2 linked regions of the Canis lupus familiaris genome follow. The protein of the gene in region 1 purifies or fractionates together with the protein of each later gene. This does not show direct contact. Links are inferred from orthologs where the notes say so. Each region holds a gene or a part of one and is shown in the gene's direction. Other genes may lie near its edges. The genes, in order: NUFIP1 and ZNHIT6.

The links.
Region 2: the proteins of NUFIP1 (region 1) and ZNHIT6 purify together in Homo sapiens (affinity purification with western blotting; 3 studies listed by BioGRID and IntAct, with this or other methods). This does not show direct contact. The link is inferred for Canis lupus familiaris from reciprocal best matches to the Homo sapiens genes NUFIP1 and ZNHIT6.

The regions. Positions count from the first base shown.
Region 1 is NC_049243.1:6,041,063-6,058,013, forward strand, and holds the end of NUFIP1 (nuclear fragile X mental retardation-interacting protein 1), read left to right. Parts: intron 1-2,496; coding exon 2,497-2,613; intron 2,614-8,502; coding exon 8,503-8,720; intron 8,721-10,355; coding exon 10,356-10,472; 3' UTR 10,473-11,507; downstream 11,508-16,951. UniProt on the Homo sapiens protein: Binds RNA.
Region 2 is NC_049227.1:62,901,320-62,918,270, forward strand, and holds part of ZNHIT6 (box C/D snoRNA protein 1), read left to right. Parts: intron 1-9,238; coding exon 9,239-9,307; intron 9,308-10,335; coding exon of another isoform or gene 10,336-10,396; exon of another isoform or gene 10,397-10,411; intron 10,412-10,684; coding exon 10,685-10,765; intron 10,766-12,216; coding exon 12,217-12,294; intron 12,295-16,951. UniProt on the Homo sapiens protein: Required for box C/D snoRNAs accumulation involved in snoRNA processing, snoRNA transport to the nucleolus and ribosome biogenesis.

The DNA.
Region 1 (16,951 bases):
CAATATAGTCTGTAGCTTTGGTAGTATTATACCAATGTTAATTTATTTGGTAGCTACGATAATGTGTCACGGTTATGTAAGGGGGAAGCTGGATGGTAGGGTACATGGAAGTTCTCTGTACTATCTTTGCAACATTTGTGTAAATCTAAAATTGTTTCAAATATAAAGTTATTAAAAAAAGACAGGGAAAGAGGTGATATGTAGGCCAATTAAAGCCTTGCTCTCCACTTCTTGAATTGCGAGGAAATATTTTCCTTCAGAGTTTATTTTCCAGTATTTTTCTGTTATGTTCTGATTATAAAAACAAAAACTGAAGAGCATTTAAAAAAACCCCTATGTTCTTAATCTACAGAGACAGCCACTGCTCACATTTTGTTGTATATCTTTTTAATATTTTTCTTATCATGTGTATATTATTTTTAAAAATAAAAATGGAATCATGTTATTAAAGAAAAGAAAGAAAAAAAAAAAAACGAGCTTTGAATCCAGACAGAACTAGGTTTGTGTTGGGCTCCACCTTTTCCTAGCCCTATCGTTCAGTACCAGTTAGCCTTTTTGAACTCGTCTTTACTCATTCATGCAACAGTTTGTTCTTCAAATATTTGTTCAGCACTTAGGTACTGTTCTAGGCTCTAAGGATACAGTACTGAACAAAGCCAAACCCTTTCTCTCCTATAGCTTGTACTTGTTCACATCTAAGTACTTCAGGTAGTTGTTTATCGTTTTGCTGTAACAGGGAACGGAGAAATGGCACCATAGCTGGAAGAAGACATTTATTAGCATTTTTATTGACCATAGAGACATTTTGGTATGATGGCTTCATTTTTTTTTTTAAAGATTTTATTTATTTATTTGTGAGAGACCGAGAGAGAGGGGCAGAGACACAGGGAGAGGGAGAAGCAGGCTCCATGCAGGGAGCCTGATGTGGGACTCGATCCTGGGTCTCCAGGATCACGCCCTGGGCTGAAGGCGGTGCTAAACCTCTGAGCCACCCAGGCATCCCCCGGATGGCTTCATTTTAATAAGAGGACTTTATGTATCAGTAGGAGATATTCTAGCCCATTAGTTAAGAATTGGAACTTGGAATCAGCCCCGATTTAACTTTGATCCAATTGTTGCATAATTTTGTTACCTGAAGGAAAAGTTACTCAGATTCTCTGAATTTCAGTTTCATCATCTGTAATTAATAGTGAAAATGATACCTCCTAAGGATTAAATAAACTCATTCTTTTAAGAGTGTTATAGTCAACTGTATTGTGCTTTTCAGTACCTCTCTTTGAGTCTTAGAAAGAAATAATAGTTTGGCTTATCATCATTTAAACAATGAGATGAAAAAAAAATAAACAATGAGATGAACAGTCTCCATATTAATATTTTGTAGATTCTGTTTAGTCCACTAGTAATTTATATATAAACTGCATATTTTTCTTTCTCTTTATTAATTCATAAGAAAAGATGAGAAGTTACCTTAAAATTGACGAGCAGTTTTTGGAGGGTATGGTGCTGGGTAGGGTGGATGGGTGGAGAAGAGGGGATTTAACTTCATCCACCAGTATGTGCAGTTCCATATTCACATAGAAGTATAGCCCCAATTTCTACTAGCATGTTTTGTTTTCCCCTAGACTGACTTGGTGAATGTTCAATGCTGTCTTGAAATGTTTCATATTACTTGGGGGTTGAGCCGGTACATTACATAGACAGGTTACTTCCTGTCTTCATTCTTCAGTCAGGCTTTATTTTTTATTGATTGTTTAGACTAAATGTAATACATTTTTAGAGCTGCCAAAAACAAATGTAATAGGTGGTGTCCTGAGGCTACAACTAGGCTCCATGGGCTCTGATCAAACGCTTTACCTTTGGCAGGCTCTTTGGTACTTGCTAAGTTCTCTGGCTTGGCTTGTTTACTTAAGTTCTTAGAAGTTCTAAATAATAAAAACTTTGGGTGAATTCATTTCAGCATAAGTCTTTGACTAAGCTTTTATATATAGAATGGTTAAATTTTATTTGTGCCCTCAAAACTTAGTCTTAAAAACAAGAAAAGTAGATATTTTTTTATTATTTATTCCTAATCCAGTGAAGTTAAATAAATTTCTGGCCTTGGCCTTCCTATTACCTAATAAAATTAATTAATAGCATAATAGCCTAATAAGGTAAAATAAATTAATTAGCAAAGACTGTATAATTAACTTAGAGAAGGCTCAAATTCCGTAATGTGTGAAGCATGGTAAGTAACTAAGCTGTATATAGCTTCCATTGGCCTTCTGTGTTCTCTTTGGGGCAAGTAGCTTCTCTGACCATGAAGATGTAAATAAACCAAGGAAAAAATTTCAAGTTTCCTGAATTTTGTTTTTGGGAAAGATTAAGGAAATGATCAGAAATTACTTTCTTTTCACTAACATATAAGGAGTAGGGGACCTGTCAGCTTTCTTTTTTATGGTGGTGGATGTTTTTGGTATACTGTTTTATCTCATTCCTGTTTTTTTTTTTTTTTTTCAGAATCTGATAAAGAGGAGAAACCACAAAGTACGGTCATACCCAAGGAAGTGACACCAGCCCTGTGCTCACTAATGAGCAGCTATGGTAGTCTCTCAGGGTCAGAGAGTGAGCCAGAAGGTAAGTCATGGCCTCAGTTGATAGGTTTGTTTTATTGCTCTTTGAATTTGATGTATACTGTGCATCAGTAGCATCATTTCATGTATGTCTTTCTGAGGACAAAATGTATCAAGAGCATTGTTTATTTAATCTTCATATTTTTCATTTGATTCAGAAGTGATGTTAGCATGGGATAAAGGAAAGCTGGAGAAATGAGGAAATGTGTTGTTAGCCTGGGAGAAAAGGGCAAAAATAATACAGTGACAGAATAGGAAAGGGAAGAGATAATATGCCATTAATGGAATCAAAGACAATTCTAAAAGATACAGCAAAGAAAGTTAATTTGTTGTTTCCTACTCTCAATTCTTGTCTTAACATGTTTATAGCACCTTTGGTAGATGAATAGAGGTCCTTTGTGACAAAGTGGATGGTAGAATTCCTTACATGTATATAGAACGTTATTTTTTATAGAGCATATTTACATAAATTGCCTCATTTGGAGAACACAATAACTCTGTGCTTGTGGTTGAGTTAGCCTGTATGTTTCAAAGACTGGATAAAATGGAATTCCTTCAAGGTTTTTTCTGAGGAGTCAGTGATGTGCAGGATACATGTCTGACCTTTAAAGATGATAATAAACCAGCTTAACGTAGCGTCTTTTTTTAGGGTCACCTAAAAGAGTTATTATGTTATTAATCTAATGTGTCAATTATAAACCCAAGGTTCATATAAATAATCAGCATTTGTTTAATGAATAAGTCTGTGTCCTTCTGTTGGAAACCTGGCTCTGCATGGTGAATTTATTTGGGCTTTACCAACCATGAGAGAATTCCTGTGTATGTGTCTCTGTACAAGATGTGTAATCACAGTAGGAGCTGTACTGAAGATAAGAGTACAGGGTCTGCAAGTGAGTGTGTAAAAAGAAAGGAAGATTTGAGTGTAATTGGATGAAGATGGCAGCACTTTTAATGTTGATTAAATTAGAGATAATCACTCTGTAGTTGGAAGATGTTGAAGGAGAAAGAGTTGGGATTTAATATGAAGGATAATGTTTAGATGTATCCGTAACATAGGGATTTTTCTTCTTTTTTTAATGGACCGTGGTTTACTGTGGTAGCTGGTTAAAAGCTACTTGAATTTTGAAATACAAACTACTTTGGCCTTATCAGAGTATTTCTTAACTGATGGTTGCCTCTTCTTGTTTTTATTTTAATTTTAAGAAAAACAGTATTTATTTCTTTACTCTTGTTTCCAGTACACTGATATGAAGATGGAGTTATTCTTTAAACACATATTACATTTCTTGCTTATCGCTTGTATTTATGACGGGTGATAGCAATGAAAGCTATTACCAGATTACTGAATTTTATAAAAACAAGTTGCACTAATGCTCTCCTCTCTCTCTCTCTCTCTCTCTCTCTCTCTCTCTTAAGATGAAACATTTAATACTTTCATTCTCATGTCTTAATTTTGAGGCTGCCACCATTTTTAAATTAGAAGAAAGAAAGGAAACTGGGAGTGATCTTTGAGATTCCACTCCTTCATTTATGGAACCTTAAGCTTAACTTCTTTGCAAAGTTAGTATGTGGCAGAGCTGTTGTAAAGCCTAGGTTTGGGACTGAAAAATCTTAAACACCAACTTTCGTTTTAGGCATTCTCTGTGTTACATTTACTGTCTTCCTGAACAGAAATGCATAGCCTTTTCTTAAAGATAACAAGATATTGTCTATTAAAAGATAAATTTTACCTTATATGAATTTATTTTTACTGATTGTCTAAAATGCCCTGCTTGAAGGAAAAAGCCTTTGCTTCACATTCCTAAGGCCTAAGAATTATTTTATGTAGTTTGAATTCAGCTTTATTGAGCCATCCAGGTCACTAGCAAGTTTCCAACTTCCATTGTAAATTCTGGGCTGTAGGATAGCATATTGACACATAGGGACTTTGGAAGAAATAAACCAAAGAAATAAAGTGGGCTTTCTCTGAGCTATGAAATAGCATCTAGAAGGCTCCTTACTTAAGTGGATTTTAAATGGAGGGGAGCATTCTGATTCCTCACAGATTTAAACAATTGTATCATCTTAGTTAATATCTATCTCAACTTAGGAGTTAATACAGGTATATAGAGGATTTTAAACATGAATTGTGCTTTTTTTCCAGAAACAGTTTTAAACAAGGAAGGAGTCCCTTAAGAAAGACTGAAACAAAACAAGAGGCTAAGCTTGGCTTTGGGGATTTCAAAATCATTAAGCTATACATAGGAAAGAAAATTTCAATGAGTAATATTTCCAAATCAATTAGTTTGAAATCTCTTCCAGATTTTACATGTTAGTTTTTTGTTTTTGTTTTGCCATGTTAGAAGTTAAGCACAGTTTTATAGCTCTCCAAAATTGTTGTTTTTTCAAAATGATTTGGGCTGTGACTGGAGGTCCTCCATTGAAAACTCATGTTTAAAGACCACATGCCAAAAAGGATTTATAGGTTTGAAAAAGTGCAGTGGTTATATTTTAAATTTATTTGAATTGATAAACATTGCATTAAAATATGATACTAAGCTGGGAAATGTTGTGAGCCTCAAGAAAAATATAAATGGTTCTGGTTCCTCGTTCCTTAGCAGAAAATTGACAGTGTAAGCTCTGATTCATTTGACTTTTGTATTCCTGGATTGGAAGACCAATACTTGAAGGGGAAGGGAAAAATAGAAATTAGAACTCTGTCTTTTCTTATTGCCTTTTGTTATTATTCTCATAGTTTTGAACTCTATAAACCACTTGAATTCTTTGCTCCTTTTATGGTTACATTTCTGATTTTTTTTTCTTTTTTCTATCACTTTGAGGGCACATCAAAACCACTATCATTATAGCAAATTCTTTTTTTTTTTTTTCTTTTTGAGCTAGAGAGTGTGCATGATGTGCACTTGAGTTGGGTAGAGAGGGAGAGCGAATCTCAAGCAGGCTCCATGCTATGTAGAACCTGGCTTGGGGGCTCAGTCATACAACCCTGAGATCATGACTTGAGCTAAAATCAAGAGTCAGATGCTTAACTGACTGAGCCACCCAGGCACCCCTGTCATAGCATATTCTTTATATATTGTTGATTCTGGGTCAGGTCCTGTTTTATGTGCTTTACTCATTTAGTTATCACAGTAACTTCATGTAGCAGGTGCCATTATTTGTGAGGATATTTAGGCAGAGATAAGTAACTTGCCTGAAGATCGCAACTAGTATGTGATGAAACTAGAACTTGAACCTAACAGTTTGGGACTAGGATTTATGCTTCTAAGACTTATTACCCTGTACTTTGTTTCAAAGGTAGTTATCACATTTGGTCTTATGTAATACTTGGGTGTTGAAGGTTTTGAGGGATATGATTAGATTCCTATACTCTTGTCCAGGCAATTGAACCCAGTCTCCCACCTTCTAGAATTGAATTCTTTATATCATATCACCTTGTCAGAAATACAGAATAACCATTTTAGGAGTGAGAGGAGGAGATCCTTAAAACTTGTCAGTTTTCAACTAATCATATGGTTCTTTTCTTTATTCTTCTTAATATGGTGAAATATATTGATTGATTTTCAAGTATCAAACCAACCTTTATTCCTGAAATAAAATCTACTTGGTCTTTTACTAATAATTTATAAAAGATATTTATTTACTATCTTTATTTATTTGTTAAAGATATTTACCTCCATGGTCATGAAGGATGTGTTTTTCTTTTCTTATAATGACTTTGTCTGGATTTGGTATGAGTGGGATCTATTTCCTCCACCTCTTTTTTAAGACTTTGTGTAGGATTGCTACCATTTTGTCTTATTTGTAGAATTCAGTAATGGAGTTATCTGTACCTGGCATTTTAGAGGAGGGGGTAGACTTTCAATTATGAATTAAATTTCCTTAATAGGTAGAGGACTATTCAGATTTTCTGATTTTTCTTGTTCAGTTTGGTAATTTGTGTTTTTCAAAAAAATCTGTTTCATTTCTGTTGTCAAATTTATTGGCATAAAGTTGTTCATAATATTTTCTTGTGATATCTGTAGGATCTGTAGTGATATCCCCCCTTTGATTCCTCATATTATTAAATGGTATTTTTTTCTTTTTTTCTTGCTCAATCTTGCTAGATGTTTATTAATTTTGTTAATCTTTTAGAGTGTACCAACTTCTGATTTTTCTATTTATATTTTTCTTTATTGTCTGCTTGTAATTCATTGATTTTTCACTCTGTTATTTCCTCTCTTTTCACTATCTGATTTAGTGGAAGTTCAGATAATTGATTTTAGGCTTTTCTTTATTTCTAATAAAAGCAATCAAAACTATAAATTTGTCTCCATGCACTGCTTTAGCTGCATCCTATAAATTTACATTATGTTTTCATTTTTATTTTTTAAAAAATATTTTCTAACATCTCATGATTTGTTCTTTAACTCATGGGTTATTTAGACATATGTTGTTTAGTTTCCAGAGATTGGAGGTTTTCTAGATAGTTTTCTGTTAACTGATTTTACTTGAATTCTGTTACAGTCAGAGAGCATACTTTGTACACTTGCCAGGCATTTTTTGTTTTTTGTTTTTCCAGCTTATTGAGACTTGTTTTATAGCCTAGCACAAGTGAATGTTTATGTGAACTTGACAAAAACGTATCTTGGATTGAGTGTTTGTCAGTTTGAGTTGTTAGGGTACTCAGGTCTTCTATATTCCTGCTCATTTTCTGTTTAATTGTTCTTCAGTTACTGAGAGCAAAGTGTTAAAATTGTCTCTAACCTTAATAATGGATTTGTCTTTTTCTTGTTTCAGTTCTTTTAAGCTTTTGCTACACGTATAATGAAATTCTGTTATTAGGTGTTACTGTTTTATCTTCTTGATGAATTGATTTCTTTATCCTTATGAACTGTCCTTCTTTGTCCCTGGTGATGGTCCCTATTCTGAAGTCTCCTTTGTCTGATATTGATGTAGCCGATCCAGCTTTTTTATGATTGCTATATGTATGGTATTTTCTTTCCTCCTTTTGCTTTTAATCTGTGTCTGGTCACAGACAGTCTTTGCTTCATACTTCCTTGATAACTGAGATTTCATCTCCGTTCTGTTTGTGCAAAGCAAGAACTGCCAACAATTTAAGGTTGGTTTCTTGTAGACATTATGTAGTTGATCTTGTTCCCCACATTCTCTCTTCCCCCAGTCTGACCACTCACCCTTTTAAGTGGGATGTTTAAGTTATTTATATATATTGTAATTATTGATATGGCTGTTTCTTTTTGTCTTTGTTCTGTTTTCCTTCTTTCTTGCCTTTGGATTTATGCTGTCTTATTATTAGGGCAGTGTAAATATGGGTTTATTTGTTGAACCTCTTTGTTTTGCTTTTTAGGAGTTGGTCTATATATAGTATGTAGCTTCAGCTTATCACAATATACTTTCAGTGGTATTATACCATTTCATATATGTAATTTAAGAATTTTATAGCAATATACTTACATTTTCCTCTTCCCTTCCTTTATGCTCTTGTTATCAGATTTTCCTACAGGTGTTATGAATCCCACATACATTGTTTCTATTTTTGCTTAGAGTAGTCAGTTATCTTTAAAACCTTTTTCAAATCAGAAAAAAATGTCTTTTTGTATTTACCCCTATATTGACGGTTTCTGACACTCTTCATTCCTTTGGGTAGATGCAAGTTTCCATCTGATACTATTTCCTTCATCGAGATCACTTCCTGCAGCTCTTTGTGGTAATCTCTTCAATTATTGGCAGTTATATTTCCAATCTGAAAAATACTGTACTGCATTGAAAATGCCTAGTTTTTATTAATAAGTAGCCAGGATTATGGCTACTGGGGGGAGTATTATGACTTTTTGGGTTATTTTTGGAAGTTTACCTGTTTTTTTATTGTTTTTGTATTTGTTCTCATCACATTTAGAAGCTCCCATTAAGACTGAAGCAGACATTCTGGTGGAAGATGAGGTTCTTCATAACAATACTCCTAAGAGATCAAGGAACAATGTTAAAGTGACTGTTAAAAACTATAGGAGCCCAAAGAAAAGTTTTAAAAAGACAAACCCTAAGAGGAAAAAAGATTATCACAACTATCATACCTTATTTGAACCAAGGACACACCATCCATATCTCCTGGAAATGGTAAGTGACTTTTCTTTACATTCTGATCTCTCTTTTCTTCTCAGGTGATGAAGCCAGAGCCACTGGGTTTCTGCATGGGTTCATGCATGCATGCTTTTTAACTTCACCAAAGACCTTTATTCTTTGAAGACTTATTTGTGTATCTTAATTTTGAAGCTGCATTTGGCATATAGCTGATGTTTAGTAAATGTGGAATCATTACACTTTTTAAAACTGCTAAAAATGAAAGAATCTGTAGATTTAATTGATAAGGAAATATGTATTAAGGTGTACTGACATTTTTAAAGTTTTCACTGAAAGCACAGCTAAGTACAATGGCAGACTAAAAGGAGGAAGAGGTTTTTATGTGTTTATTTTGTGCATTATTGGCTTTATTCTCAGTGTGATGTGCTGAAAAATCTTATTTCTTCACATTTTAAGAGGAAGCAGCACATCTTTTGATTCTAAGTAATGGACATGAAGCTGTTCAAAGATCCAGTTCTTTCATACTAAGGGTAATAGAAAAATATTCCAAAATTTTTACTAGACTTGTAGAACTTTTTTTTTCTTTCTTTCTTTCTTTCTCTTTCTTTCTTTCTTTCTTTCTTTCTTTCTTTTTTTTTTTTTTTTTTTTAGATTTATTCATTTATTTATGATAGACATAGAGAGAGAGAGAGGCAGAGATAAAGGCAGAGGGAGAAGCAGGCTCCATGCCAGGAGCCCAACGCGGGACTTGATCCTGGGACTCCAGTATTGCCCTGGGCCAAAGGCAGGCGCCAAACCGCTGAGCCACCCAGGGATCCCCTAGAACTTTTGACAGTGTGTGAAAAGTCCTTTTTGCCCTGTCAGCTAAATGCTTACACTGTAGCTAAGGTGTTCTGTGGCTACCCTCTTTGAGGTGTTACATGGAGACCCAGTTGCTTCTTATTTGAATTGATCTGAAGTGTACTCTTTATTTTATAAATTTCAGTGTTTATATAAAGTAAGTTGCATTTTTAAAATACCTTGTAAGTGGTAAATTAAATCATCTCTTCACAGAACGTTCATTCCTCTGTGATGTTTCTAAACTAATAACATCAGAAAATAAATTGAATGATCTTACCCTTTTTGGCAAATCATATATGATTCCTTGGTTATGTATTTCTTCTAAATACCAGGAATTTTTTTAGATTGCCTTCAATTGCAACAGGCACAAAAATGAAAAGTTGTAAAAATCCAGGACTGTTGGGATTTTTTACTGCTGGTTTCATCACTACTATATTTACTGTATCTGCTTATAAGTTTCTATACTGTTTGTAGGTTTAGGTTTAAGAGGGTCCTCTTTGACATGATTTGTAGGTTAAAGAATTACAGACTTTTAAACCTACATTTCCTGTCCTTTGTTTAGATACTCCTAGAAAGGACTGAAAATGTGAACATTTATGCTGTTTAAAAACTAGATAGTCTTGGTGTAAGTTAAGAGGAAATGTTCTTGCATTATTTTTTTAGTGAAATGATTTAAATATATATTTATATATAGGTTATAAATATAAGTTATTATAAATATATATCTTTATTCTGTATTCTTTATATGGAGAAGGTATATATAATATTTTAGATTGTGTTTCCTGGATATATTTTATTTACCAGCTAATCATTTTATTTATTGTTTTTTAGCTTTTAGCTCCAGACATTCGACATGAAAGAAATGTGATTTTACAGTGTGTTCGGTACATCATCAAAAAGGACTTTTTTGGACTTAATACTAATTCTGCAAAAACTAAAGATGTATAGGTACCAGCACTCATGTGAAATAGGCCCATCCTAAAGTTAGTGGAGGAAAACCTTTTTTAAAAAAAAAAACAACTGGATTAATAATTGTAGACCTTATGAAATATTATGTTGGATTTTTAATTCTTTCCTTTGAATCTATGCAAATAAATACATAACTGGTTTTAAGACTCTGTCTCTATTGTTGGGGTTTGCCTAATATTTGCTGGTAGAGTTCTACTTTTTACTTATATTTATTTGTATTATTGCTGTCAGGTAAGGAAGTCTGCTGTGGGACCAGTCAAAAATTGAAGATATTGGGTTAGTAGTAAAGAAAAAGACCTTAAAAATGTTTAATTCAGCAAACATAATTGAGCAAAGCTGTAGGTTACGGAGAGAAGTACAGTCATTTCGTCTTTATTTTATTATTTTTTAAAGATTTTATTTATTTATTCATGAGAGACACAGAGAGAGAGAGACAGAGACACAGGCAGAGGGAGAAGCAGGCTCAATGCTGGGAGCCCGATGTGGGACTCGATCCCGGGTCTCCAGAATCACGCCCTGGGCTGAAGGCGGCGCTAAACTGCTGGGCCACCCGACCTGCCCCGTCATTTTGTCTAAATGCAGGAAAATGAGAATCATCCTTTAACTGTAGCAAGGGGGATTATTTAAATAATAAACCATATCAAATTAATACACTCAAAAGGTCTTGAAATTTAAAATTTCCCAGTTTATTTCCAAGGACATTCGGAAATTCACCTATTGACACTATTTAAGTAGTTCAAATACTGAATGTTTGGAATATTGACATAGATAAGGCCTCTGTGTATGTTTAGATTCACTGGAAGTGCTTCTTTTTGGTATGGTTCAGAATTGGACCTTTTTAATTTCTCAAATGTAAAGCATGGTACTTGATGAGGTCCATCTAATTTGTAGCAAAAACTGTAGTTCGTGAAATAATGTAAAACCTCAGTTTTAATATTTAAAACTGAGCATATTTCTTAATTGAACCCTTTTAAAATGTTTTTAAATAAACAGATCTTTTTTGAGTCTTTTTAATACCAGAGTTTGTTTTTTTTAAAGATTTTATTTATTTATTCATGAGGGACACAGAGAGAGAGGCAGAGACACAGGCAGAGGGAGAAGCAGGCTCCCTGCAGGAAGCCGGAGGCGAGACTTGATCCTGGGACCCCGGGACCACGCCCTGAGCCGAAAGCAGATGTTTAACCACTGAGCCACCCAGGTGTCCCAATATCAGAGGTTTTGATCTTATGTCCTAGTCGCTTGTGCTAGCTAGAACTGGAGCCTTCCTTTTTTAAATTTAAAAGAAAATTAATCTGATGTGGTTGAAAAATTGAATTTTTTCTAACATTGTGATTATTGAAGTCCATGAGTCTTGCCTGCAAGAAAAAGGCAAGCAAGAAAGCTGATGGCAGCCCTGAAGAAAGATCTCTTGTTCCTATATTTATAAGATCCTATCCAGAATCCGGGAACACCTGGCATATAACGCTATGATACTACAGACCAAAGATCAAAATTCATATTTAGGTCAGTGTTTCCCAACTTTGTAACTGCCATACAGACTTTTTTTTTCTTTTAAGATTTTTTTAATTTATGAGAGACAGAGAGGCAGAGACACAGGCAGAGGGAGAAGCAGGCTCCATGCAGGGAGCCCGACTAGGACTCAATCCTGGGTCTCCAGGATCATGCCCCAGGCTGAAGGCAGCGCTAAACTGCTGAGCCACCTGGGCTGCCCCACCATACAGACCTTTTTATTCTGTTTAACTCTCCTCCTGCAATGAATCCCATGTTTTAGAAAATTATCTGTCCAGCACATTACTTAATTCAATTTATGTAACACTGTTGAGTGCTTATTTATGTGCTGCCAGTATACATGGATTAAAAATAGAAAAATGAATGAGGCTTGCCTGACTTTAAGGGATTCAGTTTAATTTTTACATTATTCATAGCTGTGACTCTTAACCCAATTCATCTCATCAGGATGAAGTAACCAGCGTTATACACTGGGTTGATATCCTAAAATCTGACTTACTCTGCAGTTTTATCATAGGCTGGCATGCAAGTTCCATAGGCTTTAAATACTAAATGAATTCAGACTCCTAGGCTGCTTTCACAGACCTCCATAACTCCAGGGATATTCACAATCACTGCTTTAGAGTATATTGTACAAAGTTTTATTTTCAATTTCTCTTGTTTTCTAATAAATGTATTTAAGACTGAAACTGCTCTTCTGAGTATTGCCTTGTCTATATCTGGCCGTCTTGAGCTCTAGTGACTGTCAGTTATTTCTAGTGGGTAATTTCAGATTCAGTTGCCTTTATATTTAACCCAGGAATTCAAGTGCATTTAATTTCTAAGCACCATATAGCCTATGTGGTTTCTACTTTATGAAATACACAGTCAATATTTGTAAATATTCTGTGAGTGTTTTCAGGGGGAAGGGTGCCTGCCCTTGGATACAAGGTTTTTTTGGATTTAGCTTGTTAATTGTTCATACCATCTACATTCCTGTCCAACTGTTCGTATAACAAACTGATTTCTGAATGTAAAAGAAAGCATTATATGATGACTTGTGGTGAGTTGTGTCTTTTATAACTGTGAAATACTCTTGTCCTCAGTACTCTCTGCATTGACCTATTTTCCCTCAATTAATGTAGTCAAAACAGCTTTTTGGGAGTTCAGTCTAATAGCCTCTGGGGAATTTAATCCACTTATATTAATTGAAATTGTTGAAATGTTTGGAGGGACCATCCTAGCCTTTTTTTTTTTTTTTTTTTGTATCTTATTTCAGCATTTCAGTGGCATGATTGTTGTTTTTTTCTCTTCATTTTTCTTTCTAGTGCTTCGAAGACAATTAAACCTATTGCTGTTCCTTTAGTGGTTATCTTTTTCTCTGAGTCTGTAGATACAGTGGCCCTATCTTCCATTTCTCTCCGTTAGCATCGTAGCACTTCCCTTCCTGGACATCTCCTTCTGTCATCGTGTGGGATTTGTTTTGGATTCATTTCTGTTACCTTGGTGTGTGTTTGTGTGTGTTTTAATAGTATGCGTAGTTATTTAGACAAATACAAGTATTACTGTTTCCTTCTCACTGCTTTTTCTTTCATCCCAAGATTAGTTTTTTGGTTTACTGCAGTGTATCATCAGGTAATTAATCCATCAGTTTGAATCCTCCATTTGAATTTTTTTTTTAATTGAGTTTAGGGTGTTAAGTTCAAAATCCTTTCCCTTCAGAATTTTGAAGCATTCACGTGATGGTCTGTTAGCATCCAGTATTGCTGATTCAAAAAATCAGACACCAATCTAATTCTCTCACCTTCTCTTTTTATTTATTGATAAAAACCTGTTTTTCTGTCATTGAAAAGCTTTTAGGATTTTCTTTTTATGCTTGGAGCTCTAGAAGTTTTACCATTATGTGTCTAGGTGTGTGGGACATTTGTCACACCCCATGGTCCTTTCACTCTGTAGAATTGTACCATTCTTGGATGAAGAACAGTTTCTAAAATGGTTTCTTTAATGATTTTCTTTCCATTTTATCTGTTTCATTTTCCTGGAACTCTTTTTGAGTGTGGGACCTCCTGCCTTGATCTTCTGTCACTGGACATTTATGTTTTGTCTTGGGCTTTTTGCTCTGTTCTGGAAGACTTCTTCAGATATTAATGTCCAGATCACTGATTCCCTCTTCAGGCATGTCCATTACATTAGTATTTTAGCTTCTGTTTCATTTTAAGTTTAGTAATTTGTTTTTAAATATTCAAGATGGCTTTCTTGGCCTCACTGCTTTTTTCATTGATGTGGTATCCTTACATTTCTGAGGATATCAGTTGGAATTTCCATGTTATTTTCTATTCCTTCAATTACTTGTATTCTCCATTGCCAACTCCATTGTTTTAATTTGTTCAGTTTACTAATTATCTTTACACTATTTGTTTTCTTTAAAGGATCATTCTTACATATGATATTCACTTGATTAATATATTGGTGATTGGGTGTGTATTTTCCCCACATTGGCATGAGCCTTCTTCAAAAGACACTTACCGGGGCACCTGGGTGGCTCCATTGGTCAAGCGTCTGCCTTTGGCTCGGGTCATGACCTTGGGGTTCTGGGATCGAGCCCCACGTTGGGCTCCCTGCTCTGAGGGTTGCCTGCTTCTCCCTCTGCCTCTGCCTGCCGCTCCCCCTGCTTGTACTCTCTCTCTCTCAAATAAATAAAATATTAAAAAAAAAAAAAAAGACGTTTACCTTGACTGAGAAACGGGGACTTGTTCACGCAGACTGTTTGGAGTACATGGATGGGAAATGGGCAGATCTCTGCTCTTGTCCCATCCTCACCTTCACCTCTTATTCTGAGGATAGACCTCTTCTCTCCAGGGCAGAGCTCTCCCACTCCCACCAACCATTTGGTTTTGGAGGTGGGCAAGGTTAAGACTTGATGGTCACAGCTGGAGGCGTCCACCTTTCTGTCATGTGTACACTCAGCTTAGTGTATCCTTGGGATTGCTTTTATCTTTCGGTTGTCTCTTGGGCCGGTTTGGGCTGAGGCTTTCCACTCTTGCTTTTTATCAGTCTGATCAGCTTTATTGTGGTTCCCCACCTTTAATGGACACCAGAATCACCAGGAGGGCTTGTTAAATCCAGGTTGCAGGGCCCTACCCCCTAAAAATTATAATTAAGGAGGTTGGCATGTGGCCTGTGAATTCGCATTGCTAACAGGTTTATGGGTGATGCTTTTGAGGTTTGTCTGGAGGACCACATTTTAAGAACCACTGTGGGGAACTTACAAGTTTCTCAAAACCACTGGCACCCCAATATTACCTTCTATCTTGTACTCCTTCCCTGTTGTAATCTCCAGTTATTTTTTTTTAAATACCACTTCAAGGAATTTGAAGCATAAAGAGACATAAAAAGAGCTGTTTTAATCTACTTTTAACTTAATTTCTTCATTCATTATATTCTGTTTTAGAGTAAGCATCTTTTAAAAAAATTCTTCTTCTGGCTTTTTAGAAAGCATTTCATTTTGGAGAATTTCAAACCTATGTAAAAGTATAGAGCATCATGTAATGATACCCCTTTTCCCAACTATCAGATAGCAGCTTCGATGCTTTATCAATCTGTGGACAGTCTTATTTTCATCTATAACTCACCTATTCCTCCCCACCCCACCTGAGATTATTTTGAAGCAAATGCCCAGACATCTTACTACTTTATTCCTGTATAATTAGTATATGTCTCTAGAAGATAAGGACTTGAAAAAAATCCCCACCATATCTTTACAATTAATAATTCCTTAAGACCATCAGCTATCCAATCAGACAAATTAAATTTCTATAACTTGTTAAGATAACATAGTTGAGATCATTATGTGTATTTCATTTCATACCTTGTTTATCACAAATGCCAGATTAGAAAAATATACATTGGACATATTTAATATTTGCTCAACTCCTGTGTTGTATTTACTATTATTATCACCTTCCTTTTCTCCATGAAGTAGTAGACCTTTTAAATTCTGAAATGGATGCTATATCTTCATTTAATTGTGAAAATGGCCATGCCAACTGTAGTAGAGCTTGTGGCTACTACTGTTGTGAGAGTGGAGTGGAGGAAGATAGGAACAGACTGTTCCTGCTGAAGGAACAGACCAGGGCAGGTTTTGCCACATATTTAATATTCATTTGAAAGCTGCCCTATTGACTTCCTTTGTCCAGTAACTATTTGCCCCATACGCAAGGCTGATGTGGACTGAATGGTCGCTCTGGGAGAAGAGAAGCCACTTCTGCTATGTGGAAGCTGGAGCTTCAGAGGGCAGACTTGCTCCAAAACAGTCTGCTGTTAGCATAGCTGGGGGCTTCTTGGGAGGCACGTACGAATTGATTATTTCAAAACTGGGAGAGGAGAAAACTAGTAAATGTGAGTAAATGGAGTAATAAAGAAGACATATGCAGAACATACCTGAATTGAAATTTCTGTTCTTGATCGCTGTTGCCCTAGACTGTGCCCTGCAGAGCAGTGTACCCTTGTGAAACACAACCTGTGGCTAGTGTTTGGAACGCTTTCTGGGTCTTCTTTCGGTCTTTTGTACCTGTTGACTTGAATGTGTCTCTGTGCACCCCCAGGACAACCTATAATAGTTTTCCCTTTTCATAGATTGTGTGAAAGTTTCCATTATTGTGGTTTCCAGCAGTCTTTTATCTCTGGCTATTTGAGGGCAATACCACCATTGCCTGGGTCAAGTATTTGCAGTTTAGTGTCTATACATTTTTCTGGTTATTTTTATATTTTTATTTAATTTGTAGAACTCAACTATAGGCTTTACTTGGATTTCTCCAGTCTTCCATTGTGTCCTTTCTGATGATTAAGTTCAGGATACTGTGCTGTATTTAGTCACTGTGTTTCTCAGTTGCCTTGTTCATTTTGTTGTTTTTTTATGACAAGAGCGATATGCTCATTGTAGGAATTCAAATAATCCAGTTGTATATAAG
Region 2 (16,951 bases), on another chromosome or scaffold:
TGTCAGCTTAGAACTGAGGTTTTAACTTCCTTTTGGCTCAGGGTTCTTTTCTATCTGTGGGTCTCTCTTAGAGTATGAAGATGGTAGAAGTGTGTCCATTATTTTAACAACAGTGTGAATTAGTAATTGAGCTCCAGTCCTTTTTTAGAAACTAGCCACTAGATGTCTCTCTTGTAAAGAAGTAACCTTTTACAGATTCACAAAATTACTTTTTTTCCTTTGGATAAAATCACAGCATTCTAATTATATCACAATAATAGACCCATCTACCTCTTTATTAATGTCAGTAGCACCTTTTTTCTTTTCTTATGAAGAATGGTGATACACTTCATAAAGCACAGTATTTTGTTTGCGTGATTACCTGTAAGTAGTATAGGTTTGTACTTTACTGCAGACTGACTTTAGAAAAGAGCAAAGGAAAATGAAATGACAGGTTTAACAGCTGTGGTCATGGGGGGGGACAAGTCAATTTTGCAGTGATCTAGTTTGGTTGAAGATTTTCAGAACAACAGCAGGACCTTAGAAAAAACAGTGGGAAAGACTAGAAACTGGTTCTTCAAATAGCCATTTCCTTACAGGAGCCGTGTAGGTAGTAGTGAGACGTTTCTGTGACATACAGCACCACAGAGGTTGTACTTCTCCGTAAAAACAATTAGCCAGCATTCATGGAACTAGAAAACACCCTTGGTCATCTTGGGGTCCCCACCCTGGTTCAGTTAGGGAAAGCCTTCCCTCGTCCCCAGGTCTACTACTTCATGATATGCCTCTGGCATGTATCTCTTTCCACTTCTTTCTCTGCCACATATATCAGACATATTCTCCCGTGCAGGCCACCTTGTGTCACCCTGGACTACTGAGGAACTTTTACATGCCCTCCCTATCTCAGTGTCTCCTTACTTCAGTCACTTGATACACTGCTGTCTGTCTGATATGTCTTTACAAAATGTGTTTTTGCTGTGATGGTCACTTGCTCAAAATCAAGGAGTTAAATCTAGGTTTAAGGATGGTTTTGTGATGAGGGTATCAGTTGCAAAAGGATAAAGTAGTAAATTTAAGACAGTGTATGTAGTTTGACGTGTCTAGAAGTTAGGTTGGGAGTTGGTAAGTGGTAAGAGATGAGGTTGGAGAGAGCCCCACTGGGCCTGGGCTTTGCAGGACCTTATATGCCATACCAGAGAGTTTAGACAGTCATACTTTGAGCAGAAAATGTTCCTGTTAGTATGAGGGATCCACACTAAATATGGGTTTTCATAGTCTGTCCCCACCTGATTTCCTCATGTATTCAACCAAGTATACACAGGCTGGTCACCATACTTAAGCCTAGAATGTTTTCCTCATCCATTATTTTCTAGCCATCTGTGAAAATACACAGGATAGCTCATCTTCTCCATTATTTCTTTTTACCACAGTTCTTATACATTTTCTCTACAGTTAATATGAAACACATGCTGCATTTAGTGCTGGCATTCATTTTTGGTATGCATATATATGTGTATATTTATATTACGTGTGTGTTGTGTATGCAGAAAGGAGAGTGTATATATCTCCTTTCTGCATTCTGGTGTGTTTCTTACTAGGGGCTCTGTTGGCATTTTGAACAGGACAGTTTTTTTGTTGTGTGGGACTTTCCCATTCATTACAGGAAGGTTAGCATTTTTGGTCTCTGCCCACTAAAATGCCTAAAGTGCTTCCCAGTCTTGGAACAGTCAGAAACTGCCCAGCCATTTCTAAATGTCCCCACCGCCCAGGTTGGTACAATTCCCAGTTGAGAACTGCTTTATTAAGTGCTCAAGTATTTATCAGTTATTTGAAGCAAAATGTACTTTTTTATTTCAGTCTTCACCTGCTATATCCATTTTCTTAATATACTGTCTACTAAAGCCAGTACCACATACTTAACCTGTTTCCTATTATTATTGTGTAGTGGTGAAACTAATTTTTGAAAGAGTAAAATGTAATATATAACTGGAACTTTTCAAAGTATTTTCATAATGATGTGAGACACATAAAATTATGGTTTTCATTCTCCCCAATTCCAGTAATTTTAATCCATGCTAAGTAACTACACAGATCCTTTGTATTCACTCTTCCAAAAACACTTATTATGGTACCAATCGTAATAAAATAGATGGATTATTTTTTATGAGGAATGGTTATATTTATTCTTGGGACTTTAAAATTTGCTCTTGAAATGTATTTTCAAAGATAAAATGCCTGTGAGTGAAGGATTATGTAGATGTTTTATACATTTGTTTTTTCCTTGAAGGATTTCAAAATTTGGTAGATTTTCTTTCTGCTTTAAATTAAAATAAGGTTTTATAACTGATGGTGGAAGAAAATGGTTTTCTCCTGAAATTCCTTCAGGTGTTATATACTGCTTCCAAATTTCATAAGAGTTAACAATTTATAGGCTATCTTCCTTTTCTACTGTTTCATAATAAAAGATGAAATCTAGAAAGAAGAAAACTTTAATTTCTTATATCAGGATGCTTGATGTTGCTTGAAATAGAATACCCAATTCAAACCAGTTTGAGCTGTAAAAGGGCATATTATTGGCTGTCGTAACTGAATGTCCTGAGGTAAGATGGACTTCAGAGTTAATAGATAAAATGACTCAATTACATCATCAGTGATCTAGTTTATTGCTGATTCTCCATTATATCTTCAGTGGTGTCAGCTGAATCCTCATGGTCATAGGATGCCCCCGGTAATAGTTTGAGTTGCAGTAAATATCCAAGAGTGCTTCTCTCTGAGCATCACTGAATAGAAAACCTGAAATTCACCACGATTGGACCTCTTAGGTCATCTGCCCCATCCTGAGCCATTGTGTCGAGGAAAACCTAGGATAGTGATTTTCTTAAGCCAACTCATAAGTGCATGTCCCTAGAGATAGGGAATGGGTTCCATTCATCAAAGTATGGTTATGGATTAGGAAGAAAGTTGGTGGTAATAAGAGATTACAAAGGAGGCAATTAAACTATAACTCTTATAAATGATTTCAAAATATGAAGGCAAATATGTAAAATATGACTGAGGTACATTTAAATTAATAGTACATAAAAATACATGGTTATTGAAGTTGCAGTTCTAGTAAGTTCATAATAGTATAGACGATTAGAGCATAGACTGGAATTATTGTACTGCCTGGATTAAAATTTCACTTCTGTCACTTTCCAGCTGAATAATGACCTTGAAATGGACTTTCCTCTTAGGGTTCTCATCTGTAAAATGAAATAATGTCATTCATCTTAGGGCTAGAAGAATTAAATGAATTAATACATGTAAACATTTAGAACAATGTCTGACATATTAAAAGCACTTAATAAACTATTACTACTATTGCTGCTTGCTAGTGCTCTCTGGTAAAAGGACCTGCTGGCAGGTTTGATAGCCTGTAGACTTTACTAATTTAACTAGTGGTGTAGTATTCTAAAGAGTAGACATGTGGAAATTCTAGCTTTAGCTTACTCCCATGGAATCACCTGTATTTAAAAATTAGAAGTAACAATTTTAGGCACATTTGAACTGACATGATATGTCATTGTGCTTCTCAAAAGTAGTGAGAGATATTTCCCTTAATAACTATAAACAAAAGCTGAAGTTAATGTCTTGAATATTTACTAGGAGAGTTAAATAAATAGTAGGGTGATTTGAGTCTGCCACTAAGCCCTTCATTTCATTCTTTTTAAAAAAACCTTTGCTGTTGGTGCATTAACCACAGAATAAAATCCATAATGTTTAACAGAACATTCAGGTCTTTTTTACAATCTACTATGAATCCAGATGCCCAGTTTCATTTCTAGACACTAAACACTAAATTCAGTATAAGCGCACTTTGGTTAGGAACTCATGGCAAAATATTCTTAAAGACTGTGAATATTTCTGTTTTTAAGCTTCATATTTCTGTTTTTAAGCTTCATAATTCAAGGTATTGAATGTAGAATTATTATAATGGCAATAACAGTAATTAACATTTTTTATATATTCTGAGCCCTTGAGATACATTTACTCATTTAACACTATGGTATAAATACTATTGTTATCCCCCATTTTACTGTGAAAAATCTGAATCACAGATACAAATCACATCAAGTTAGAAATTGTTGAGAGTAAGATTTAAGCACAGAGTCCACTTAACTTTTGCCCTGTCTTACCTCTGATCCTTACAGTACAATGAGTATTCTTCCTTTGTACAGTGTACATGAAGAACAAGGTTCTTTCATGTGGAAACTAGCCTCTCATAGCCATATGGAAAGGAAACACAGTGCCCAGGATTGGTGGTTGACTTCGAGCCTAAACAGAAGCCTACCTTGGGCTCATCCCCTTTGTTCACATCCTTAATGACTACTGGGCCTTTAGGAGTGTTCTTTGAATAAGTATTGGTTAGTCAGTGAGAGAGTGAAATAAAAGTTGGTGATTTTTTTTTTTTAGGAATAAAAATATTCAAGCTCATTTAAATTTTATATTAGAAATCTTAGTTCTTAGAATTCAGCCATCATATGTAACTCTTAGCTGTGGCATATTTCTTGAGGAAGATAGCTTTGAAGCTGTAAAAATTATTAGATAAGTAACCCTAGTTCTGGTTGGGTAATAATTTCTGAGATAAAAAAGGAAAGCTCTTAAAAGAACACTTCCAATAATAAATATTTTTAGGTTTAAAAAGAATGTTAAAATTAATCCTGTCCTTTCTAGGACTACCATCCTGTGTTTTCCAATGAAAACATTTTTGGGACACCTGGGTGGCTCAGTGGTTGAGCATCTGCCTTAGGCTCAGGTCATGATCCTGGGGTCCTGGGTTCAAGTTCCACATCAGGCTCCCCCACAGGGAACCTGCTTCTCCCTCTGCCTTTGTCTCTATATCTCTCATGAATAAATAAATAAAATCTTTTTTAAAAAAAGCATTTTTGACTTTGCTGTTTATATAAAAGAGAAATCATTATGTCAAAGATTTAATAGAGATATATAAAGTAAGAAGTCCTTTCATAATGGCAAGAAATAACTATAGTTAAGAGTTTGGGGCACATCCTTCATACTTGTAAACACACGCGTGGACATATTTTCAACATAAATGCCTTCATTTAGCACGTACATTTTTCTTCCCCAGCACATATAGTTCTGCCTCAACTTTTCATTCACTATCTGGATCTGCTCTAATGTATTTAATCAGTTCTCTGATGATATCCATTTAGATTATTTTTTATTTTTTTCTGTTATAAAGAATGACACAGTGGACATGAGCACATGTCATTACTTGTCCAATTGTTTCCTTGAAATAAATTCCTGGGAATAAAACAGTTGAGGCAAAAATATATATATTTCTTGCATTATTAATATTTATTTATAGCTGTTATGAAATTGAACTGCCAGATGCTTACACCGATTTATATTCCTCTCAGCAATGGAAAGTGTCCATTTCACCACAATTGCCTAGTATTTCTAATTTTAACATCATTTTTGTAAATCTGATAGGTGAAAATATTTCTACTTACTTTTGTTTGGTTATAAGTGAGCTGGTATTATCAAACTCTAACCATACTGCCTTGAGATGCCTAAGTTACCTAGGATATCAGGGTACAGTATTTCCATTTGTGAGAACATTGGTAATTATGGCAAGGACACAGTGACATTATTATAGTTGAAGGCATTTTGTTTAATTTAGGGAACAATAGTCTTAATATAGTAGGAGTAATAGTAAATGTTTTAATCTCTGTCCCAGTTCTCATTCAGTGGTGATTTTGCCTCCCAGAAGACATTTGCAATAATTGGGAGCATCTTTTGTTGTCCCAACTGGAGGAGTGGGTGTTGCTAGTGGCATCTCAAGGGATGCTGCTAAACATCCTACATGAGAAAATGTCTCCCTTGCCTCCCTCCTGTCCTGCCTTCCATAACAAAGAAGTATGTGATCCAGAATATTAACACTGCATAGTTTAAGAAAATTTGTCCTAGCCCAATAATTCTACTCCTTAGAATCTGTCTTTATAAAATAGTCCAAGGGGATCCTTGGGTGGCTCGGCGGTTTAGAGCCTGCCTTCAGCCCAGGGTGTGATCCTGGAGTCCCGGAATCGAGTCCCACATCGGGGTCTCTGCATGGAGCCTGCTTCTCCCTCTGCCTGTGTCTCTCATGAATAAATAAAATCTTTAAAATAAAATAAAATTAAAATAGTCCAAAATACAAAAAGGTATGCGTGTGTGTGTGTAATTGGAGCATGTATCACGATATATAATTATGAAAAGTGGGAAACAAACTTAATTCTTTGAAGAACAAACTGATAGTTACCGGGAGGGAAGTGGAGGAAGGTGAAATAGATGGTAGTGCTTATGATGAGCACTGATAGAACACTGCATGTTAACTACGCTGGAATTAAATTTAAAAGTTTAATTTAAAAAATCTTAATTATTTGAGACTTAGATTTGATTGCCCATGGCAACTGCATCAGTTGCCAACTCTAAAGAATTGGCAACAACTTCAGAGATAAATTAACTCAGCCATTTTGGGAATTCTATATACAGTGCCCTTCAACTTCTCTATGTCCATTCTTTCACTTAAGTCTTCTATTCTGAATTACTGTTTGCACATGCTTTTTATGCTACCATTAGAGTTAAAAAGTACAGGCAGTTTTTCAGTGAAGCTAACTTTTAATTTTGTGTACCAGTAGAGTTAAATGATAGACCCATTCATAGAGATAGTCTTTTATTTTTTCTTTACTGTAATTTCATATGGAAGAACAAATGATAAAAAATTGAAAACAGTCATAATGTCTATCAGTAGAGAATGGATAAATAGGTTTTGGCATTTTTCACAAAGTGAAATTCTGTATGATGGTTTAAATTAATGAACTAATCTGATAAATCTAAAGCATAATGTAAATGAAAAGCAAGGCATAGGATATTTAGAGTATGATAACTTTGAAGTAAGTGTTAATATTACATAAAATACTATATTGTTTATAGCTATGTATATATCCATAAAATATAAAACATAAAACCATGGATGGCGAGAATACATACCCAACATCAGGAAAGTAGCTACCTCTGATGATAGATGAGAAGGGAATTCGATCAAAGAACAATAGAAAGGATTATCAACCATATCAATAGCCTTCTATTTCTTGGAAGAAAAACGTATTTCAAATAAATATTGCAGAGTGCAAGTTTCTTAAGTCTTGAGTGTTGTTTATACTCTTTTTCTTGGTTTTAAAGTATTGCAAGATCACATTTTTTTAAGTAAATGTACTTTTCAAATTTGTTCATGTTTGAACTGAGACCAAATGTAGAAAGGTTTTTATAATCATAATTTTGCAGTTATGTTTTATATAATAAAACAGTAGTGAATGACTTCCCTACAACCACAGCTAGTTAACTGTAGCAAATAAAATTATTTCTAAGGGCTTTTCTTCCTTTGTTTTTGGGATGTTTAGTACTTTTTGAAGATATTTAGGGTCTACTGAATGTTAAGAAAGAAAAATGGTTCTTGAAATTACTTAAGCAATGATTGGAATAATTGAATATGATTTATAATTCCATAGGATGATGAGTTCATAATCTTTTTTCTCCCCTGTAATTTAACACAGAAAATACAAATATAGTTAAAAACCATATTATACATTAAGATTTAAAAATCAGTTTATTTCTTACTAAGAAATGTGGAATTGGGTGCCTGGTGACTCAGTTGTTTGAAGGTCCTACTCTTGGTTTCTGCTCAGGTCATGATCCTTAGGGTCGTAAGATCAAGCCACCCTGTGTTGGGCTCCACACTCCACTCAGCACGGAGTGTGCTTGAGACTCTTTGCCTCCTCCCTCTTCCTTCCTTCCTCTTCAGCTCCTCCACACCACACATGCACGCTCTTGTGTGTGTGCTCTCTCTCTCTCTCTCTCTCTCTCTGTCTCAAATGAATAAATAAATAAAATGCTTAGAAAAACAAAACGTGGAATCTCTAAATTTGATGATGTGATGCTCTGCCTATTTCACAGATAATGTACATTGCAGAGTTTTTGTTTTGGAAGAATTATTTATTTAAAACCAGGAACTGTTATATTTGCTTTCAGATTTTTTTTAAAGTTTTTTTTCTCTGAGATTTTAAACATCTGGTCTTTAAATTAGTAAAGTGTGCTTGTGGCTTTGTTCTATCGAAAAAAACAAATACTAAACATGATTGTTTCTTATATGGTAAGTGGTACTTTCAACATAAGCATAATCAAGCATATTTTTTTCTAGCTAAAGCCAAAAACTGTCTTGTTATGAAAGAAAACTTCTATAAGCAGATCTATGATAACTTACCCTAACAGAAGGATTTCTACTTGCTTTTATGGTTATTCTGACAAAAATTTGACTAAATCTTGTGAATGTTTGGTGAGAGCTACTGTACTAGATTGTATTTAAAGAAAATTAGTTGAGATTTTGGAGCCATACTACTAAGGGATAGATTTATAGTGATGCTGGTCATCTGCTTGGATGTGCTTTTGGCCATTAACTTGCCAGTGGATTGTTAGAAATTTCTTCTAAGTAAGGAAAACATGTAAAACCATCATATGGTGAAAACATTTAAATTTCTGTGTTGGATTCAATATTTCGAGCATACAATTTTTTAAAGGAATGGTATATAGTATCACCAAATTTAGGTATGCTAAATAGAACATATGGTCATTATGCTAAAATTAGCCATTTAGTGAATTATTACTGTTGACCCTGTATCAAACCAAAGTTTAGACCTGAAAGCAAAGGGACTCTAGCTTAGAGTGCGTTCTGCTTAGCAACCAACTTGTTGTCTACTGTTTTGCTACTGAATGCACGTACTCATGGCTCAGAAGTGTATCTGCAGCCAGCTGGTCACAACCAGACAACACTTCATTCACCTAATTTCCAGACTAGTTAGGCAAAGACATCAGCTCATTGTTTTTAGTCATAAGCAAATTTATTTGTAAACTTCGAGTAGTAGCACATTGATCTAAAAAACCCCTGAACTGTGAGACATTGCCTTCTAATTCAGGAATATAAAGTCCTTGTAATTTAGAACTGCTGCACTTAATTTTGTTTTCCTCTTAAAAATCCTTACAAGTATATTGTTTAGAAAACAACAGCTTCTAAAATCCTAGAAAAAAAGAAAATAGTAGAAAAGATACATTAAATTCTGAGAATACTTTTTGAATAGTTATCTGAAAATGAAAATTCAGGAGGTTCAATTTGTGCTCAGACTTTTATTATCTAACTTGGTCCTCATAAGATTATCTTCTAATTTAGGAAACAACAGTTTTGTTGGCATGTGAAGCTCCAGTTTCCTCAGAGTCAAGCTGTGTACATAGAAAAAAGGTATAGTATAACCACTATTAAGAGCTTCTTTGTTCTTACTGTGTTTTTGTATTTAAAATAACCCTATTAACTTAAATGTGGTATCGGTAAATGTATGTCAGTAGAATGGATAATTAAGTTGTTATCTTAATACAATTAAGTGCTCAACATTATTGAATGAACTACAGCTACATACATCAACATGATCTCAAATGTTGAATGAGAAAAACAAGTTAAGGAAGAATGCCTAGAGTGTGATTATGTTTGTAAATATAAGATGGTGTACTTTTTAGGAATACTTGCAGAGGTGGTAAAACTCTAAGGGAAATGATTAGCCACAGAAGTCATGATGGTGTTTATTTCTCCAGGCAGAGCAGACATGAGGAGAAAGATGCAGAGAGACTCGAGAGGGTTAAAAACTTTCTTTTTGTTAGAGTTGAGTGTTAATAGAGGAAATGAAAAATGACCCAAAATTCTATGCAAAGATTATCTTGGGCATGTATATGTGTATACTCAAAATTGAAATTAATTTATATAAACAGCTTTTTGTCCTTTTTTCATATTTGCACATTTTTAAGTATTCTTTAAAAATTTTAATGGTTATGTACTATTTGGTTCCTTGGCTTGGGAAAATTTTACAGTTGCTTTTTAAGTAATAGATTAACCGTATATTCACATTTTGCATAAGCTTCCTCTCTTTATAATTGTCATGGGGATTTTAGTGAAGTGAAGAACTTTATTATTTGAAGTTGTATACCAGACTAAAATCAGGGGAAAGGACTTAAATTTTATAGATGGGGGAATATAGCACAATAGCAGATATGAATATGTATAAATGATTGAAGAAAGTTACTCATTCAGAGCAGTGTCTTAATTTTGCTTTTACAGATCTGTAGTTCAAAACAGTTTGCGTATTTACCAGAAAGTTGAAAAGCCTGAAATACTTTGTTTCCAGGGAAAGTAGAATCAATTTTTTACCCGGTCTTATGATTTAGAATGAATAAACTGAACATGCACTGAAATTAGCATCGTTTTCGATCTTTTTTCAGATTTTATATTTCTGCAGCTTTCAAATATATTTCATCCTGCATTCTTTCTTCTCATCTGTGAGCACAGGTGTGTGTTAAAAGAGGCTTCATATTTTTATAATTGATTTATAGGGACCTTCTCAAAATATTGCTTTTTAGGACTTTTTAAGTGTGTCCAAGAAGTCTTTTTGAGCTTTTTTCCTAAGTAATTTTTGCTTTAAAGGATGTTATGTTTTGCCAAGAGTAAAATAAAAGGTGTGTGTTCAGTCATTTAAACAAAAAGCCACAAGATTTAGTAATTCCAAGTTAACACCTTTAGTAGAAAATAAATAATAATATGTTATTGTTTTGTTTTTTTGTTGTTGGAAAGAGTACCAGATGATAAAACTATTAATGAAATCCTAAGGCCTTATATTGATCCTGAAAAGTCTGATCCTGTAATTCGTCAAAGGTATGTCTCAAAAATCTTATAATTTTCTGAAATTATTAAAAATGTTGATGTACTGGTTATGTGCATATTAATTATGTTAAGTTAGGACTTTATTAGACTGTGATTATGTCAATGCAGTTTACTTTCTGTGCCATTTCCTTGGTGTTTACTCAAGGTTTTGTCAGTCATGGATGATGCTTTTGGATAGTAATAAAAACAGTACGTAACACTTAGTACTTACTGTTTTCTAGACATTCATTAAAGCAGATGATAAATATGTATTAATTAATTCCTCACAGTAACCCCTTAAGATAGATTACTGCTGTCATACCCATTTTGTATATGGGGAAACTAAGCCTTAAAGTGGTTAAATGACTTCATATAGCAAATAAGCAGGGAAGCTGGGATTTAAATCCAGGCAGTCAGTAGTGAGACTCTGCACTGTTAACTCTTAAATCAAACTTCTTTAAAATGGAATAAAAAACTAAAAATTAAGAGTTTCCAAGTAACTGTTAAAGACAGGAAATTCTGTTTCAGCCAAGTCTTCATAAAACTAATTAAGATACACTCTGCCTCCTGTCCAGAAATATAGTATCGACAAAAATGGTTAATGTAGCATAGTAGAAAGATTCAGTTATGAATATCTGGGCTAGAATAGCTCACTCTGTCCCTTTTTAGCTATGTGATCAGGAGTAAGTTACTTAACTTCTGGACCTTAATTTTTTATCAGTAAAATGAGAATGTTAATATCCACTAGATAAGGTGGTTTGAAGCTTTGGAAAAAAAAAAAAAAAAGCATATATCAAGTTCCTAGTACAGGGCCTAGCACACAGTAGGCAGCATTTAAAAAGAGAAACTATTATTAGAATGTGAATTAGTTTTCCTGAGCAGGAACCCACTTGACTTTGTTTTCGCCAGATGGTACCTACTTGGAATATGAATGCCTGGTTTGGTTCCAGTGTAACCTAATGTTTCAATGTTAGACTGGGTGGATTCTAAAATGTCTGATTCAATTCTAGTTAAATCTCATCTTCTACTTGTAATAAAGGTTGAGCCCAGACTGAACCAGATCCGTGACCCATATCAAGTAGTGTCTTTGGTACACATATAGTGGTTGAATTTCTTTCCTTCTTATTACTGATAATTCAGTTGTTATCATTGGTCATATGTTTGGCAAGAAGACAAAGTGTCACTAAATTGAATACACTTTTTAAAGATAAATAAAATGGCAAGTTTAATTTAATTTACTTAAATAGACATTTTTAATCTAAGATACTATACGGAGAGAAGAAAGGTAATTTTTAAAAATTCAAATCCTTCCTTAGAAAATATCTTTAACCCCTTTTCTGTGCTTGGATAGTTGGATTTTAAGTATTATTAGCTACTCATAAATGTTTAGTCTTCCATGGATACTATCTTGAAATATATTAAAAATCAGTTTTGTTTCCTTCAATATGACATTTTTATTTCAGGTTGAAAGCCTACATTCGCTCTCAGACTGGGGTCCAAATTTTAATGAAGGTTGAATATATGCAGCAAAATTTAGTAAGGTAAAATTGCTTCCCTCCCCATTTCTTTAAATATTTTCTAATTCTGTAATATAATTAAGTAGCCTGATTAGCTTAAGTAGCCAGTTATTATACTAATATGACTTCCAAATTAAAATTTTAAAATAATCACACTTAAAGGATAAATTCAGTTGAAATATTACTAAAGTTAAAGTATCTTAAAATAGCATTATGAACAAGTAAAAGATTCCTAAATCCCATTTGAACTTACTTCAAGAAATATTCTGGAGATGCCTGGGTGGTTCAGCAGTTAAGCGTGTATGCCTTCAGCTTAGGGCATGATCCTAGAGTTCTTGGATCGAGTTCCTCAACGGGCTCCTGGCATGGAGCCTGCTTCTCCCTTTGCCTGTGTCTCTGCCTCTCTCTTTCTGTGTCTGTCATGAGTAAGTAAATAAATGTTTAAAAAAAAATATTCTGTACAACAGAGTTCTAATGTTCAAGTTTTTGCCTTTGGAAATACAAAAATTCATGTGACCAACTGAGCATTGCATATATTGCATTCTTTGCAGAGAAAAGTAGAAAGAGCCAGGTTATAACAAACCATATTATTTGAGACAGTTCTTTACTATGCTCTGTTCCTTAATAGAGTGGTGATACAGACTACACCAAACCATCTCTGAGAGTTCTGCAAAGTCTACTTTTGTGCCAGTTATGTGTCAGCATACTGAATTACAAAATACTGATCTTTGATGACCTTTGATGCTCTTCCATTGTTAACAAAACTACCAAAGTCAATTCAGACTAGATCTGGTCAGTCTCACCTATGATTCGATTTGTTAACATAGCTTAGAGGTTTTAGGATCCAGGCTTTGAAAGCAGAGCTGGGATTTCAGCCCAGCTTGCCTGATTCCAGTTATGTTAACTTGAGTAAATTATGTAACCTTACTTACCTTAGTTCCCTCACCTTTAGAATAGGGGTGATAATAGTAATTATAAGATTGTCATGAGGGGTGCCTAGGTGGCTCAGTCAGGTAAACATCTGCCTTACGCTTACCTTATGATCTCGGCTTGGATCCTTGGCTTGAGCCCCGGTTCAGGCTCCAGGGAGCCTGCCTTTCCCTCTCCCTCTGCTTGCCGCTCCACCCCCCCTTCTACGCAGACACGCGTTCTCCTTCTCTCTCTCCCAAATAAATAAAAATCTTAAAAAAAAATCCTCATGAGAGATTATGATAGTTCATTCAGCACTTGGTAAGTGCATGCTATTATTATTACTATGAATACAAATAAATGGATTCTTACAAAATGTCTACACATAAGATTACAAGACTTAAAGCTAAGAACAGATTTAAACACCAAATCTTGACCACCTTCTTTTACCAGCATGTCGCAAATACCCTCAATTTCATGTCATTGATCATGGTTCGGTGATGAAAAATTCAAGTTTTCTATAACGTAATTTTTCTCTAGACTTCTTAATTCAGTATATTTACATGCAGTTCATGCTTTAACTCTCCTCCTTCCCCCAGAAGATTTGGGGCCTTAAATGAGAAATGGACAGAAAGTTTTGTGGGTTTTGCAAAGATATTTATTCAGAGTTATAACATCCATGTTAACCAAAATCAGTATTTCTGAAATTGATAATCAGACATTTATGTAATTAGTGAGAAATACTGACATAAAAAGTGCATTTCAGTTTTACTTAGCAAAATCTTAAAGTAGATTTCATACAATTCATGTTTAAACAAAACAATTTGCATCATTCCCTTGGAATTTACCTCCTGTCAATCATTAAGTAATTTTTCTTTTTTTATTATGTTACCTCGTTCAAATTCAGTTCCTTAAAAAAAATCAGTTCCTTTCTTAACATTTACTATATTTAGTTAATTCTTGTAAATGTTACTTAGATTTACATGATGCACTCCTGTGGCTTCAGTTGTATAAGCCTGTTAATAGAACACTTTTGAGGGTTTTTATGAAAAATAAAAGTGCTTTTTGTATAGTTATCTCATCTCCTCTTCTCTAGGCCATGGGACTAAGATATACTCTCCCAAGTCTTCTCCTAACAGCCTGCTGACGTGTCCAGCATTCTAACACTCGTGCACCACATTTATCAACTCCTTGTCATAGACTGCACTGCCAGTATGGGGATAACATGTAAATGGCTCCAGAAAAATCGTAGAAGGGAGACAGTAAAAAGTGCCACCCATCAAACTAAATTGCTTCAGTTATTGCTTCATCATTTCCTTTGTTGTACTTATCAGACCTTGAATTATTACAAATAGCAGCCATTGACTATTTTAATGGCTGCATAAATGCAGTTGTTTTCTTAATAAGTATGTATTTGAAATACCATATTGCTTTTCTAGACTTAATAAAAATATTTATTTTGGTGAGTTTGGGCATCGTACTGGACATGGTCGCCTTATTTACCTAAACTGTTAGGCAAATAACTAATTTTCTTTACCAAAGATAAGGGAAACTACCTATATCATTTTGGTACAACTGCAAAGAACAAAAGGTTTGGATTTATTTTTCTTTTTTAATTTTGTTTTAGTTTATTATGGTTTTTATTTTGTTTCTTTGTTGTTCCCATTTTTATTTCCTTCATTACCAGAAAGAGGGTTTGGAATATTTCCATTTTAAGGCAAACCGAGGAGTGGCTAGTGAAGAAAGGTGCAAGCTCACCAAGCCAGTCAAACTTGACTCTTCGGCATAGTATCCTTGTCTTCCAAAATTCAAGGAAACCAAAATTGTATGTGTTAAAAGATAGGATACTGAGTATTTTAAAGTTTATAATACAGGACATACTGGGCTCAGATAGCATTCATTTTTAACTTGGAAATGTGTACTATAAATGCCTGAAGAGGCAGAGAGGATGGAGATTTTGAGATGGAGATCTCAGCATGTCCTGGCAGACCAGGGTTTTCCAGGAGAGTGGCTGGCAGAAATGCCTACAGCATGGCATGATCCAGAGAGGAGCAGTTGGGAAAATCATTTCATGGAGTTGCATAGAAAGAAATCAGGATACATTAGAGACCAGAACACAGGAAGATACCAGTCAGATCAGAAAGGTGTATTTTAACAAAAAGGGTAACCTGAACCCCAAGAAAAGTAAAAAAAAGTGCACTGAATTGAAGGTCAAATGACCTAATTCTAGGTACTCACCTTCTCTCTGCTTCATTTTCTTTTAAGGTCCTTTATTTTCTCTTATTTTATACTTTATACTTATTTTATACCTGAGCCATTCTGAATAGCATGAAAAGTATTTTGACTTTATCTTATTTACGTAAAAAAGTTGCCATCTGCATTTCCCCATTTGAGTTGTTTATTTGAACTCAGTGATCTATGAAAACATTAAAGAACAAGAAGGGGAAGTTTATAGCCTAGATCCTCAGAAACTCCAGTGAAGGAGTTTTTATCCTAAGTTGGGATAAAGTACATCATATATTTCTGATTTATTAAGTGAGCTTCATGATACAGTTATCCTAATTTCTGTACAACTTCACAGTTTTCAAGTATTTTCTAATCATGAATAATGAAATTAGATACTATGTGAATACATTTAGAAATAGATTTTCATTTGATGTTTTTAATTAAAGATTTTCAATCAGCGTTTTTCAGATAATTCATTCATAGATAGGATAAGATGAACGCTTACATTTGATTGTATATTTAATTACATTTGTATCATTAAAGGAAAGTACATTAAAGATTATTAAAGGTTTTAAAACATTAAGCTTCTAATATAAGATAAGCATGCTAAAATAAGAGGATTTTATTATTTCCTAAAAAGTGCTTATAAGGCAGAAACATGTAGTTTCCTTGTGGCTGTTGATTTTAAATGTATTCTACAATTTACAGCATTCCAGTGACTCCAGAGTAAAGTCTTTTTACCAAATTCTTGATGTTGCCAGTTTCCACTGGCTGTGTTTTCCATTCTTAGAGGGTTTATGACCGTTGTCTCATGATATACCTGGTCAGCTAGAGCAATCTTAAATGTTTCCCAATTTTTAGCTTTGCCATACCTGACTTTTGTTTTTAGATTTAGGGGATTATAGAATCCATGTCTAACCCTAAGGAATTTGCTGCTGATCTGTTTGGAGTTTTCAGAATACACGGTGTTTGAATTTGTGTTTTCTTATAAAAGCTAATATGACTTCTTAAGTAAATTCATGTATTCATTCACTTGCAAATGGTGATTCTCACTGTGGTCCAAGTATCATTCTGGACATTAGAGCGAGGAGAACCATTCCTGCCCCTGTGGAGCTTACATTCTCAGTGGAGGAGAAGTATGAAAGGTGCTTGTTTTAGTGGAGCACTCTTTATCTCTTGCCATTCCATTTCTTCACCAACTCTATTCTTAGAAAGTAACTGAGTAGTTTTGAAACAAAACCCATGTTGGTAATGTCAGGTACTATAAGAGGCGGTCATTGTATTTGCTGCTTTCTCAAGTTGTTACTGACTAAAGAATTTAGAGTAATCCCAAGTTTGGTACTGTTCATTCAATTGTAATTTCCCAAATCTATATTCTATATTTTACTTATTAAAGGAACCATTGATTTCCCATAAAGAAGTTAAGGTATATTTTGTTAAGTTTAACAACTTTGTTGTTTTGATATTTATATAAGGTCATTTTTGGTTTTGGGTTTTTTGTGTTTTTTTTTTAGGATTTATTTATTTGAGAGAAATAGGGTAGAGC